Struthio camelus: one gene and its partner. The protein of the gene in region 2 purifies or fractionates together with the protein of the main gene of each other region. This does not show direct contact. Links are inferred from orthologs where the notes say so. Each region holds a gene or a part of one and is shown on either strand. Other genes may lie near its edges.

What was found. Proteins that work in one complex are often made in the same cells at the same time.
Region 1: the proteins of WWOX (region 2) and WBP2 purify together in Homo sapiens (affinity purification with mass spectrometry; 3 studies listed by BioGRID and IntAct, with this or other methods). This does not show direct contact. The link is inferred for Struthio camelus from reciprocal best matches to the Homo sapiens genes WWOX and WBP2.

The regions. Positions count from the first base shown.
Region 1 is NC_090960.1:8,821,690-8,829,125, forward strand, and holds the start of WBP2 (WW domain-binding protein 2), read right to left. Parts: upstream 3,005-7,436; 5' UTR 2,990-3,004; coding exon 2,778-2,989; intron 1,350-2,777; coding exon 1,241-1,349; intron 698-1,240; coding exon 562-697; intron 1-561. Other genes in the region: E3 ubiquitin-protein ligase TRIM47, read right to left, coding at 3,760-3,874. UniProt on the Homo sapiens protein: Acts as a transcriptional coactivator of estrogen and progesterone receptors (ESR1 and PGR) upon hormone activation. In presence of estrogen, binds to ESR1-responsive promoters. Synergizes with YAP1 to enhance PGR activity.
Region 2 is NC_090951.1:7,865,417-7,873,024, forward strand, and holds the start of WWOX (WW domain-containing oxidoreductase), read right to left. Parts: upstream 3,023-7,608; 5' UTR 2,932-3,022; coding exon 2,825-2,931; intron 31-2,824; coding exon 1-30. UniProt on the Homo sapiens protein: Putative oxidoreductase. Acts as a tumor suppressor and plays a role in apoptosis. Required for normal bone development. May function synergistically with p53/TP53 to control genotoxic stress-induced cell death.

The DNA.
Region 1 (7,436 bases), on a different chromosome or scaffold from region 2:
GAAGACTCCTGAATTTCAAAATAGCCTGTTCTTTCCCCAGAAAGTGTCGTTTTTACTGCTAAGATACACTGGTGCAATAACATGCCTTTCCTTGAACTGTACAAGAAACTAATGACAGAGAACAATACTCTGGCGATCTGCATCTGAAAACCAACATAGGTCTTGGAAAGAATCAGAAGCGTTTTGCGTAGAAGGATCTGGATGAAGAATTAATAGATAACCCTAACTGACCAAAACTAAATGATATCCTCAGTCTTGCTGACACAGTCTGATCTCTGCTCCGATGTTCAGTCAGTGAGATCACTTGGCTGACTGAACTTAATATTTTGTACAGAGGGCAGGAATGAGATCAGTTACAGAACAGATCTCTTCATTGTAACTGTACAGGAAGCAGACAAGGGAAATATTTTTAGCTACTGGTTTTAAAGAAAGAAACACATTTTAGCGGGACTGTAAAAATCCATCTGGTCAGTATCCAGTTTAGGTCAAACTGGATACTTACTTCGCTGTGAATTAGATGTTCTCCATCTTAGTTCAACTGCACGTCTGTATAATACATACCTCCTGCCTCTGCTTTCACTGTACCCTTGATATAATTTGCTCCAAAAACAGGCTGCTTAATCTCACAATCTTTCAACAAATAAAAGGGCATCATGAAAGACTGCATAGCATCCTTTCCCTTTGATACAAAGATAACCTGAAAAGAAAAGAACATCACGAAGAGTGTTTAAAACAAGCAGGAAACACAGTTGAACTTCTTATTTGAAAAGAGTTTTCAATGCACTGAAGCTGCTTCCCACATCTGAAACTTCTAGTCAATTCTGCAAAGAGCAACAAGGCTAAACTAAAGCTTCAATGCAATAATGTAAAGTGCCTTCTAGAAACGTTATCCTTGCTCAGATAATACTCCTCCCAATTTCTAAAGAACTCCCAGCTCCACACAGCTATGATTTAGTAGCTTAACTGTTACATTCAGCACTTCCAGACCACTGCTAATTTCCAATCTTGAAGATGCCTGATAGAGTAAGCAGCTGTCTGTATAAGAACTAATCAGATTTTATCATCTTTTGACAAAGTGACTGGACGTGCAATGAATTCATAATGCTCCCCAGAGGGAGGGGATGAGCCATACTTCAAGCGGCAGTAGGTTATCCCAACTTTCATGCACTGAGAACATTTAAACACAGAATTGAAAAGAGCTCTTATCTCCTTAGGCAAGATAATGCCTTTTACTACTTACTCGGTAGGGAGTCAAGAAAACACTCCCTTTCTTGGTCCCTTTGAAGGCATCTGGCATAGGTTCGATATCACTGAAGGAAACTTCTATGTGATCATAGGTCATCAAAACGCTACAAACAAGACAACAAGAGAAGAGACACAGTGTTACAGCTCAACACTGTGGTTCAGCATGAATATAGTCTATTGACCAACCAAAACGAGCTTTAATCTCAGCCAAACGCTCAGCAGATGTATCAGTTTGACTTGTTTTTTTGTTGGCAGGAACAACTTAAGCAGTACTATCTACTTGTTCCCAGCCTTGTGCTTCTTCCTCAGTGTGCTGGCACTGCTACAGCCATTCGCATAGGCAGGTAGTGAATCTAGTCAATTAAACTGATCAAGATCTGATTTTTGTTTTTTTAAAAAACTTGCGTTGCATTTCTGCTGGATCAGTTCCCTAATTTGGTTTGCCACAAGCAACACAACAGAGGAAGGAGTGCAGAGGCAGGAACTGCTTAAGCTGGCTTATGCGACAAGGCTGTTGAGCGTCTAACCTCAGCTTAAGCACTTCTATCATAAAAACGCAATCAGAGGAACATCTCTTTTTTGTCACTAGAGTTTGTTAACCTGTGGTGTCCGCCCTGACTCCTTAATGCTCAATTAGAAACTGACCCGGTTAAAACGGGTGCAACACCCTTCTATGGATGCAGAAGGTAGCAGGTATTAACACAACATCCACACTAGACACGCTAACATTCAAAGCTGGACAAGCCTCTGCTGCATTTATCTTTGGCAACGTACATGTTACCATCCCTAGTCATTCGCCTTTCCCTTCTGCCAGTGGGTACTTGCCCCCACAGCAAAAGCCCAGGGAAGGCTGAGGGGGCAGTGGCTTTAGTCACTATACAGCATATGAGCCGAATCAACAATGCGCGCAGCTTGGGCTGCGGCACGGGCACGCATCCGCTTTGCCGGTTATAGCGCAGATAACTTCCGACCCCAGGTAGGCTGGCAGCTGGGAGCACATTAAGCAGCCAGATGTTTTACGTCAGCGAACGCAAACTTAAGCCACAGACAAGAGTTTCCCCGAATTCTCAGAGGAAGGTTCATACCCCTAATGGCAGTCAGGGGCATAACTCCCGTACCAATCTTCCAGCTGGCCTCACGGAAAGGAGCCCTGCGGAATGAACCCCTCTTCTGTCTCGGGAGCAGCTGACTGCCCCGCCGGGTCGGGACCGGGGCGCCGGGCGGGCACACGGGGCGAGGGCCGCCCACCGCCCGGCAGGCGGGGGCAGCTCCGTGGAGGCTTCCCGTTGCGCGGGCGGCAGAGCGGCGAGATGGGGGCCCGGGCTGGGGGGGGGGGGGAAGGGGGGCAACAGCCCGACCCCCGCCGGGGGGGGCACTGAAATGGTTAAACCCTCCCCCCACCCCGCTCCAGGCACGGGGGGCCCCGCCCCCACCCGGCCCGCGGCGCCCTAACGCTTCCCCCCGTGAGGGGAGGGAGGCCGCCCCCCTACTTCCCCGAGGAGATGGCGGCGGGCGCGGTGGGGGCACCTCACCTCTCGCTGTTGTTAACGATGACGCCGCCGCCCTCCGAGTGGTTCCTGTTCAGCGCCATGGCCGCCGCCGCCTCCTCGCAGCACCCAGCCTGCTCTGCGCCTGCGCCCGGCGGATAGCGGCCGCCCGTGACGTCACGACGCGACGGGGCGCGCTTCCCTCCCCCCAGCGCATGCTGGGAGTTGTAGTCCCCCTGCAGCCCAGCGGGCGCCATGTTCCCTCCTCAGCAGCCCTTAGCGCCCCGTGGGCTGCCCGGGACAGGCTGCAGCGGGGGCCGGGCCGGCTTGCGGGGCGCTCCCATCCCTTTTCTGCCCAGCATCAGGCCCCGCGGCCTCGCTCACCGCCTCCGTCGTGCCCCCCAAAGCCCCAGGGGCTCTAGCCATCCCTCAAGGCCTGGCAATCAGTAGGGCTTTTGTACAAAACAAGGGACGTTTGTGGGAGCGGGAGGCGGAGACGCGGCTCCCTCGCACCGCGCCGCTCTGCCTGGGCCTGAAAGCTTGTCTCTGTTCCCCAGCTGCTGAAGTTAGCCTCCTAAAATACGCTACCTCTCCCAGCACGTTCATGCCGACAACGGCTCGCCCTCGCTAAAAGCGGGAGCCCCGCCGGGCTCGCGCGTGGCCCTCAGGGCGCCCGCCGCGGCTGAACGGGGAAATGTTTGCGGTGGATACCGAGGCGAACGACAAATTCCTCCCCGCGCTGCCCGGCGGCACCACGTGCGCTTGGTGCCTTACAGATATTCTAAGGGATTCCAGCCGAGAGCCAAAAGTCAACTGTTTTATAATCGCTTTATACTCAATATTACTTTTAGTGGGCTAAAAGTCGCCGTTCATATGTTATTAAACCCCCTCTTTATGCTCTCTGCAGGGAGCAGCAGGGATAATCCGAAGATCCGCTCTCCTGCTCCTCGGGAGGACTCTCTGAAGCGCTGAGAAACCTGTTAATCATCTGGTTACATGTCCCTCTCACCGTATATAATAACACGGTTTAAGTTGTTTGGAGCCTGCTTGACTCGGCCGCGGTCTTCCTGGCTTCCCGTTTCAGACGGCTCCGTGGCGTTCGCACGGGCGCCCTGGAAAAGTTGCGCTGCCTGGGTAGGAGCCTGCAAAGCAAAAAAAAGCAAAGCAAAAAAACCTCTGGCACTGCTCAAATTGCCGTTTCGTCCTAAAACGCTGTATTTTGTTGCGGCTTGCACCGTCGCTTTTTCCCGAAGGCGTTTCCAGGCCAGCCCGCTAGCACATGAAATATTCGCTTTTCCTGGGATGTCGTCCAGTTTAACATGTAAAGGGGGAGCTGTTTGCATGCCACGTGCAACCATAAGTGATTTTAATGCTGCTTGGCAGGATCTCCCAGGGAAAAGCCAGAAATAAATGAAACGGAGACAGAATTGGACTCTCAGTAGGTGGCCAGGGCAAATTCAGGTATTTGGTAATGCAGAGTAAAAAAAGCATCTCAGATAGCTGGTGATGCTTTATCTAAAATGAGGCCCAGTGCCTTTCACAGCAAGGATGCGTAGAGTTTCCAACTGTTTTTCAATTCAGATGCTTGACGCACACGTTGTGTTACAGATGCTTGCAAACAGACTTTGGAGCCCAATATTAAATGCTCTCTGTGCAGAAATCACCCTGCTTTTGGTTTGTAAAATTAAGCCTTTATCTTCAAGAGAGTTAAACTGAAGGGACTCTAAGGCACGTCTGGAAGAAATCTGGGAACAGGAAAATATCTGTGGCATTTGCATAGCTATACTATGAGTATAGTCTACTGCCTCCAGGTGGGCAAGCAAGGAGGTGGGAGTAACTTTTAAAAAATTATGGTTGCATACTTTTGTTTAAAATAGAAGCCCTTTAAAGCTAATCAATCTGTTCTGAACATTTCTTCATATCAATAACCTATATACTATGCAAATATATTGATAACATATATTTTTCTAAATTACTTTTAATGGATTTGAACTTTTCCCTGCAGGGTTTGCAGCCCAGCCCCCTCCAGCCCTGCCTGAGCACCTAAGAATCAGATGGAGTAGGGGAAAGGAGAAAAGCTGCATAATGGAAACCAGATTTAAATAAATGCAGTGACATAATCTGTATAGTTCTTGGCAAGAAAAAAGCAAAGTTGTGCTTTTCATATCCGCTTTTTAATAAGCTGTAAGTTTCCCTTTTAAGAAACTGTTATAATAAACAGTCCTGATTCCTCTCCTATTAAAGGCAGTAGCAAACATCCACTCAGCTTCCACTGAAGTTCCCAGCTGAAGCACTGCCACCTCTCATGAGTCACAGCTTGCCCGATAATGGTGTTTTTCTTGTAGAGGTTTGGTATTAAGAAACTCAGCCTTTGTTTAAAAAATGCTACTGGTACAAGTGCTTGTGTGCGTGGAGATCTCTGGACCGCCTCATTACATAAAAAACGTTGGAAATTTACACTCTAAAAACTTAAAACTCTAAGGAAAAAAGTGCCTAAACTACTTAATTTCATTATTGTTAAGCTGAGGACAGAGGTAGAAGAGACCCAAAGAGAAAAGTGAGACAAGTTAATATTTTGAATTGCCCAGGACTGGCAATATCACTATTGGATTCTAGGATTCTTCCATTCCTTTTGCAATCGAGCAATAAAAATAAATATTTGGCTCAATTCCTTTTGACACACGTGGAAAATAAAATCTCTTGTTATTTTAAGCCAGATGTACAGGACACAGAAAAATAAACAGGAGGTAATCGGACAACTCTTCTAGTTTGGTATTTAAAGGAAAGACAAACCAAGAGCTATGTCTGTATAATATTTAATGGCAATTCATAGTCTCTAATATCATTATATTATTCCGTTACAGTTTCTTCACACACTGTAAAAGACTCTACAGTAACTGTATATTTAAAAAATAATCCTAATTAAAAAGAGGAACACTCTGTGACAGCAGAAATAACTCAGGAGAACACAGAAAGGCTATTTAAATTGCACAGTGCTATCTATCTAAACCCACCACACTTATCCTTTCATTTGCAGCAAAAATCAGAGATCCAGGGTTGGTGTAATGCACATTTCCTAATCATTCCAGTTTACACCACAAATTATTGGGAAGACAGGATCAACGTGTCTGAGCAAACTCTGGTCCAACAGCCTGGAGGATTGTTCCCATCTGAAATTGTTTAGAATTTGCTTTATGCCCTGAAACATGAGGATTTATAGCACTTTCAACCAGAATGAAAAGCAGCAACAGGAAGGGGAGGTTTTGATAATGCTTTCCAGCTGCATCACATCTACAGAAGCCCTTGAAATCCTCTGTAAAGCTGTGTATCCGCATCCCAGCTAATGAGGCAAAGATGAATTAAGCAACTGGCCCTCGACCGCAGAAAGCCAAGGCACCACCGGAAGCAGAGCCCGGACGCACGGCAATTCCCCCTTGGCAACAGGGACAGAGAGGAAAGGGAAAAGCGTAGGATCCCTCCAAGCCATCCCAGACCCTGCAGGGGTTCAGAGACTTGCATCTCCGCGTTGGGCGCGATGGAGCAGGGAGGGCTCCGCGGCTCCCCAAGCGCGCGGTCCCTCCAGGGTGTAATCGAGCTGCCTACGGCCATGCAAAACAGGGCAACGGCCCAGATCTGCTCTGTTTACTCTGGCAAAACTCCTCGCTGCAAACGGTGGGAGTTTCGCCTGAATAACAGTCACATTTGGGGCCCAGACAGAGCCGAGATGTTGGCCCACAAGCAGGATCTCTTCCTGCAGGCGTTCAGCAGAGATCAAGGTTACCTTCCTCTTCCTCTTGGGACACAGCCAAGCATGGGCTGTTGCACATCTCTAGCTCTTTAATCTGGTTACACTATTTCTGATAGCGAGTCCTCCCTGGTGTTAACAAAACAGCACCCATCCCTGTGCTATGTCACCGCCGACAGCTCACGCAAAGGCAAAGATTGGCAGGAAAGGCTGGCGCGAGGGAAACAAAGCGTTTTTGAGGCAGGAGCTCAGGACGCGAGGAGCACAATCCTGTCCGGACACGAGTCCAGGCAACATTCCCACTGACCAGCAAAAAACCGAGATTTCATCCGAAGATTTAGCGCTGAAAGACATACCTTCCCTTTTCCCACCGCTTGCAGGGTTTCAGGGCTCACCGCCTCCACCAGGTCCGAGATACGGGCCCCGAGAGCACCTAGGGCAACGACGGCTGATCCTTCCAGCCCTCCGTCCCCGTGCCCAGGGCACGGGGCGGCAGCAGCGCTCGGCGGGGGGCTCAGAGCTGGCACATCAGTCCGCCAGCTGCATTCGCACCCTCCCGTCCTCCCGCTGGGACCCGATAGCGGTGGTCGTCGCTGGCACGTCCAGCTTGGACGCGCCGCGGAGGTGGTAGCTTTGGCAGGGGGACGGACGGGCAGCCGGAGAGCAGCCCCTCTCCCTGCGGTAGCAGGATTTGGCAGCGCCGGTAAATCAGGGCCCTTTGACTAGTTACAGTAAAGGAGCTCTTTAAGCCTCAGTGTTTATGTAAATGCGGCTTTAGCTTTAAACCTCTTGGCCATGTGTCTGCCTTTTCTCCCTGGCTCCCCTTGAATATACTACTATGATTTCCAGCTCATCCTCTGGGAGATATATATTTTTTCATATATATAGATAAATGGGCCATTTTCCATGCCTTTGGAGGCCGATGCGTCATCAGTGACTCACTCATGCCAGAGACGAAT
Region 2 (7,608 bases):
TGCTCCCACTGTGTTTTTTCTTCAAGGTGACTGGAAAACAAACAAACAAAAAGTTTAATGAAGATTTAAAACAGCTCCTTCTGGTGCACTCCAATCAGGGGCTTTTTTTTTCCCCCCCTCCAATTCAGCACAGAACATGGCTTGTCTCCCATGGAAAAAAAAAAAGAAACATGCCAATCCCTCGTTTAAGGGGCTTTAAAGGTGCTGCTAGAAGCTAACAGGCTTCCATTTTGCCACACTCTGAGGGAAAAATAACTAGCCAGACAGCATAGGAGTCTACAAAAGTTCAAGTCAACATTTAACTTCTAATCTAAGTCTTGTTGCTTACAAAAAGAAAGAAAATCGCTTGAGTAATTAAAGCATAACATTAACAGACTTGGACAATTTCCCTTCAAGATGGTGGCCCTTGGAAGGGAAGAAAGAAGCAGCAGCAAAAGACTATCAGAAGCTAATCAAAGTAATATTAGGAGTCTTCAAAAGAGAAGAGCCCCTTTCTAAAACTAATTTCTAATCATGTTGATTTGTAAGCTGCAAGGTAAACAAGTTTGGATTTCTACATGAGCAACCGCATCTTTAAATAGGAGAGCTTATCCTAAAGGCCTTGAAGAGCAGACTACTTAATGGGGATGATAAAGATATCACATCTTATCTTCTAATTTAGAGATCATTTTTTCCACTTAAATCACTGTAACTGAATCAGCTATTCATTAACTGTACCATGAAGTTTTTTGCACTGCACACTAGTAAGCAAAGCAATGCGCATACAAACAAGGTTAAGGTCTTAACAGAACCAGAGCACTGAAATCAGTCTGGATATTAATATTTTATCTTCCATCAATTATTAGAGACAATAACCAAGCGTTTAAGAGTCAGGCAGGGATTATTTGAAAGAGTGTCCCAACTAATAGCTGCCTGAGTATGAAATGAATAGGAAGAACTACTGAATGCATACACAAATAAACACTAAACTCAAGATCTGGTATCAACAGCGAAGCATATACAAGAAAAGCAATTCATTTCAGCTTGAAAAAATAAACAGGCAGTTGAGCCACAGTAAGCAGCACATCACAATTCTATTATAGGAATCAGAGCTAGATGGTCTAAGATTAAATGGGTGCATATATATGACCCGCAGTAGCACTTGAATTTCAGGACACTCACATTCTAGAGATAAATATGATCCTGAGTCCCCCTATAAAATGAAAACTGTCATATTTTACCTGATGTGTAGCATTAACCTATTTATTCCCGACTCCTGTCGGGTGCAAAATACATAACCAAATTCTCATAGCTTCACAAACACATGCATGCACAACCACTGAGCTTTGGTAAATAACCACATGCATGCCCAGCTCATCAAAAGGACCTTTAAAAGTCCTAAATGAAAGTAACTCTACTGTAGCTCAGCCTAAAGTTGTTAGCGTTGATAAGGTTTAAAAATATATTTTCAGAATCTGCAAAGGTAACATACAGGTGCAGAGCTTATATTCAGGCAGCAATAGCATAACACCTTTTCCATCTGAGCTGTATTTCCACACTCGCAAACTCTTAGCTAGTGAAGATGGACCTTGTTATTAGTTTAAACAGAGTTAACTCAGTTTCACAGCAGCTAACAACCACGCCTACTACATTAATTGTTCGTATACAAACGGCTGCTCATGCTAAGAGGCAATACCTGACTGTTTTACAGGTTTTCTAAGATCACCTAGTGATTCCCTTTTTGAAAGGGCTTCTATAGGGAAGGAGCATATAAGGAAACCTGACCTAAGATCAGCAATTGACTAGACAGAATTAGCAGTGCTTATAAGCTAAATATCAAATAAAAAACATTTTCTCTAGCGCTTGCAGATCAGAGTTTGGGAAGAAGAAGCCAACTCACTACAGATAAGGCAAGCTGTCTGCACTATACTTTTACCCCTTTTTATGGGAGCGGGCAAGCCTTTTAGTTTTAAATGAACTGAAACACAGACTCCAAGATCAGCACAATTATAGGAAACCATAAGAGAGGAGAAAAATATGTAAACATATATTCCACTGAGTTAATCCTGTTAATCCAGCACTCTTTTGTAACTGGTGGGGATTTGACAGTTTTCAAAGCGGCACAGCAGATGGTGCCTCAGGCGAATTTGTATCTCTTGTCAAAGCCGTGGTATACTGCAGAGCTGGGGGTGAGCACTTAGCGTTTTTAATTTCTACTGCACGTGCCACGACTAACTTGACTAACTGTCTTCTCTACTCCTGCAAGGAGGAAAACTAAGAGAACTGCAATACTGCGTAAGGCTCGGTTGCCTGCGTCGCGCCCCACAGGGCGCAGAAGGTACGCTCTGAGCCATAAAGCGCACTGCAACACCGCCACAGCCGTGCTCCAACGGACTCCCGTAGCCAGGCGCGTCTCCCTGCGCTCCCCCATCGCTGCCCCACAAGGTGGGAGGCTAGGGCTCTGCCCAGGTGGCCGGTACCGCACTAACCTATCTCCTCCCTGTTAGGCAGGATTTATCTCCCAGTCCTCCTCTCCTTCTACCTGCGAAGGTCCGCACAGGGCGGATAGCGCCGGGGGGCCGAGCCCACCTCTGCCACGCTTTTATCCTCAGCGGCCCCAGGAGGGCACCAAAAGCAGAAACGGAGTCGCGGAGAGATGGTTCCCCCCCTCCCCCGCCCCGAGGCGACCCAAGCGCCGGCTCCGCCGCCGGCTCCGCCCTGCGCAGGGCGGGCGGGAAATGGCGGCTCCCGCCTCCCCCACGCTGAGGGGAAGAGGGGGGCAGCCCCCGCCCGCCATGCCCCGCGGCGCGAGGCTCCGGGCGAGCCCGCCCCGCCGCTCCCTTACTTGGCGTAGTAAACCCAGCCGTCTTTGGTGGTCCGCTCCTCCCAACCGGGCGGCAGCTCCTCCTCGCTGTCCGTGTCCTCCAGCCCCGCGTACTTCAGCGCCGCCATTAGGACGGGGGCTCCACGCAGCCTCGCCGCCGCTTCACCAGCCAGCGGGCGCGCGCGAGACCGCCCCTTCCGGCCGGGCCAGCCAATCGCGCGGCGCGGCGGGCCGAGGGCACTCTGGGAAGTGTAGTCCGGCGGGCGGTGACGCGGGGCGGGGGCGGGGGCCCGGGGGGCGGGGGCGGGAGCGGCTCCCCGCGGCCCCGGCGGCGCCATCTCGCGGCGGCGGCGGCCGGAGCTGCGTCACGCGAGGGCAGTGGCCCAGCGGCAGCTTCGCCCTGAATCGGGCGATTTTTGCGTGTGTTACCGAGGTTTTCCCCCTAAGGAGCCCCGGAGTGAGTTGAAACCTTCACAGGTGGCTCGAGAATCCGAGGTTTGCGGGGAGGGGGAGGTTAAGTGCTCCCTTTTCCAGAGACAAGTGCGGAGCCAAGGAGGCAGGCCAAGCCCCGGAAAGCAACGGAAAATGAACTGTTTCTAAAGCTTTTTGATGCTAGCAGTACACGGAAGAGTCAGAGGGGGAGGCCTAGGGAAGGAGGCCGCTGGCAGCAGCCCGTGCTGCCCTCAAGCTCAGGCCGCGTGGCAGGGCCTAGGTGCGGGCGGCAGCTGCAGCCTTCGCCCGCTCCGCACGCCGCTTGGGCAGCACCCGGGGGCGGTCGCCTCCAGCCCTCGCCGGGCCGCGCTTCCCGGCCTTGGGGCATGAGAGCGTCTCGATGTCCTTCGCCTAGTGAGGAAGACCTGGCTTGTCTTCTCGTCTGAGAGCAGTATCTGCCTGCGATGTGTAAGTATCAGTGCGCCATCATGGAGCGTGAGGCAAGGGAGGAACTCCTGCCCTGAGGGCCGGCAGGCCAGGCTGCCCAGCCTGCTCCTAAGGCCCCTCTTCCAAACCTGGGTCATCCAGTGGCACAAACCTGATGGTCATTTTCAAGGACTGAGGCACTACAAGGTAATGAGTTAATAGCAAATGACAAAAACCTCTGTCATGGTAGTTAAGGCAAAGGCATGCTACTTTGCAGCTGGGACAGGAGAATTGCATTGTGCAGTATCATTATTCAGCTGACACAGAGTACTTCCCCTGACTGCCGATAATGCTTTTGGTCAGGTACCCGTGTGCTGACAGCCTCATATGTATTTGTGTAACTAAAGCTAATTGTTAGCATTTGTAACAGCGTCTTCCCACTGTAGTCCTTTGGCAGGTTTTTTTAAGCAAAAAAAAAAAAGCAAACCCCACTGTTGGACAGTGGCTGTAATCACTGGAGACTGCACCAGGTGGCAGTGCAGCCACACAAATACAGTAAAGCACCCTAACTCCTTTGGGTAACATTTTTATGCACTGTTTGAGGCACTGACCTATATGGCTCACTCACTCCCCACTACTAGTGTGCCTGTCTGTCTAGAAAAAGGAACATGAACTTTTTTCTGCCCTGCTGCTCCATCACTTTGCATATTCCTCTCAGAAATTACACCTACTGAATTATCTCCTCCTGTTAGAGATAAATACTCATGCTTCCTCAGGCAGCAATTTTCTTGGGACTATTTCTGAGAGTACTGAAAAACACTGTAATCATACTCTCTTGGGAAGGGAAACTTCGGTGACATGCTTACTTCTAAACCAGGAAGCAGGTGATGGTCATAGGTGACTGAATGGAGGGATGTGCCAGGTCTCAAGAAACTAGCTTAAGTCATTTTTTTTTAATTAAAAAATAAGATATTAATCTAGCAGTAGTAGTGTAAAAATAGTTATTAGGTTTCTTCCTGTTACAGTCTCTTGAGTATTCGGCACCAAACATTTCATTCTTTGCGATCCATGAGAACTTGGAAATAATTGGTCTAATAGTCATCCTATCCCAACCGTCTGTATTACATGAAGGATACATTTTGTCCTAGATATAAAAAGCAGCATTGCAGTATCTGAATGTAAAGAAGGTATAGTGCACTGTAGATAAGAAAAAAAAAGAGCATCTGAGTAGTAGGCATGTGTATGTATATGTATATATTATGCACTAACTAGAAACACTACCTTTCACGTAAAAATATTAATGCCGCGAAGAAAGAGGCAAGACTTTGTTTGACCGAGCAACATGGAGAGTAACAAATTCCCTTGAAGCTCTACCCTAGTGCATGAATAATAGAAGTCCTATGGCTTATAATATTTTCAGTGAAATTTCAATTTCTTTGAAAAAAATGAGAAATCTCACACTTTCTTCTTTCAAACTTAAGAATCAACAGAGACTCCAACAGTTATGCTACTTTTCACAATTCTTCCACAGTACTTTTAACTGCCTCCTACTTTTCAGAATATTTTCATTGGAAAAAAGAAGTCACAAGTTTTGATAATTTGGCCACTCATGTTATTTACTGAGTTATTTCAAAGCATGTCGAAATTCAGCCATGTTTTCCAATTGAAAATTGTGGCAAATGGAAGATACATTCCCTTTGAAAGGGTCAGAGATGTCCTTTGCCATTTTCTCCAGCTTCTGTGTGTGTATGTGTAAAATTACTACCCATTTTATTGCACTGCAGAAAAAGAATGGGTCTGTTTGTTAGTTATTACAGGGATGTTCATTCAAACAGGGTAGTAAATAGTCCGTTCTGCTTAAAAACTTCTGTCACTTGCTTTGAGTGTTGTTTTTTTAGCAGAAAGTGCTTCAAAGATATCATTCTGATCCATTGCTGTACCAATCCTCTAAATTAATTCTTCTGATCATTCTAAGCCTCTCAGACTAAGATTAATTCCACAGCCTGCCAGAAAGTGCATAAATTAAAACAAGAAGACATTTAGAAATGGTTGTTGTTTTCACAATAACAAATGTTAATTAGAATCTTAATCTCATTTTCTGTTAGCTGTACTTTAAACCATCAAGATCACACGTATTTGGCTGGTTTCTCCATTAGAAACATAGATGTAAATTTGGTCATATAATTCCACTGGCAAGCCTGAGGCAGCCAAAATCTTAACATTTCCTCAAGTGTCAGTCACAGACTTATATACTTTTTTGAGTCATGGCCATTGCTTGTCAAAGATTTGGGTACTGATTTATTTGTCAAAGAATTTGATACTGAGAGTTATCTGGACAAGAGAGAAAGAATCATGATATATTGTAAAAGTATCCAGATGCACAGCAAAATGTTGACTCACCCTTTGATAGAGCATGTGTCTGTTTGTCAGAAATCACGGTTTAGGAGTATGACAAAATTCTGAACAATTATCAGGTCATAATTTTTCCGCAGCTGTCAGAACATGTTTATATAGGCTACAGCTGTTTCTTTTCAGGGGAAAATCCTGCATCCATGGTTCATGCCCGTCGTACCTCAGCATTAGATAAAGCAGTGAACTCTGCTTGAGGCTACGGTTTTAATCCACTAGAACATGATAAATGAATATTTGAGCTACTGCCTACTGTGAATGTACCAGATCCTTCAACTGAACAAATGTTTATTTTTGTGGTGTCAATAAACACAGATCTCCATTGAAATGTCCAGTAGATCACTTTCATACAAGTTATGAGAGTGGTTTAAACTTCTGAAATCCCTAAGTTTTTAACCAAAATTATTTTTAGAAATTTCAAGAATTTTATCTACTTACACATAATAATTCCATTTTCAACAACATTTCAAAGTTAAATACAATTTAAATAGATAATGCTTTTGAGGATCTTCCAATTTCCTCTAAAAGCAATCTAAAGGACATTTTGTATATGGAATTTAACTGTGAAACCTCCATGAAAACTGAAGAGTTGGAATCACAGTCATAAGGTAAATCTAAAATAGTGATTCCTATTTATTTTTGTGATTCTATGATTGTATTTCCAGAGAAAGCTGTATTTCCAGAGAAAACGGTATACTACTGAGATGAAAGAAATTGTGGAAAACAAGTCTGTCTTGACATGCTTGTGACATCATTAACCTGAGATAGGCCGTATTTGAATATTGTAAAGTCTACATTTTATTAGTGTAATAGTTTAATATCTATTTGTTCTCAAATGTGCACAATGTGGAAATGAAAGTGCAGGATCATATTAGATGTCCTTACATGCAAACTGTGACATGTGACCAATGGAAGTACTAGTTTAGTTCAAAATGGCAAGAAAATTAATGGTAGGAAGTAGTATCTAATTGTTTTTGGATAGACATCGAAAAGGACATGACTTTGTCTTCTTTTCACTCATATTTCAGTAAGAACTTTCTGTTGCTCTCCAACTTCTTTACGCTGCAGCAGACATCCACTGCAGAAAACTAGAAGTCAAATAATCCAAAGGATGAGGCAGTGTTCAGCTATACTTTCAGCCTGTGTATTGTTATTTCCAAGAGCTTTAGGCTGTTTTGCCTCATATACTAGTAATTCTTCATGGTATTTGTTTATTTTAAACTTAAGTTAAAGTATATTTGGCCTTGAGTGCCCCAACGCACTGACAGTAATACATTTCCTTTCTTTTTGTTTTGCATGACCAAAAGGTTTCTTTATTTTCCAAATCGTAATATGTATCAGCGTGCATAAACCCTGTGAGACAAATTCCAGTCTTACCAGTATCAAGATACATACAGCATTCGGGCAACAATTTCTCCCACAGTGACAAAAACATTGTCCCCCTCAATGAAGGCTGCTGTGATCTTAGAGAGTCTCCTGCTACACAGGATGTGATGCAGTCAGTTCATTCACCCTGGCTTCTATATCCGTCCTGTAGG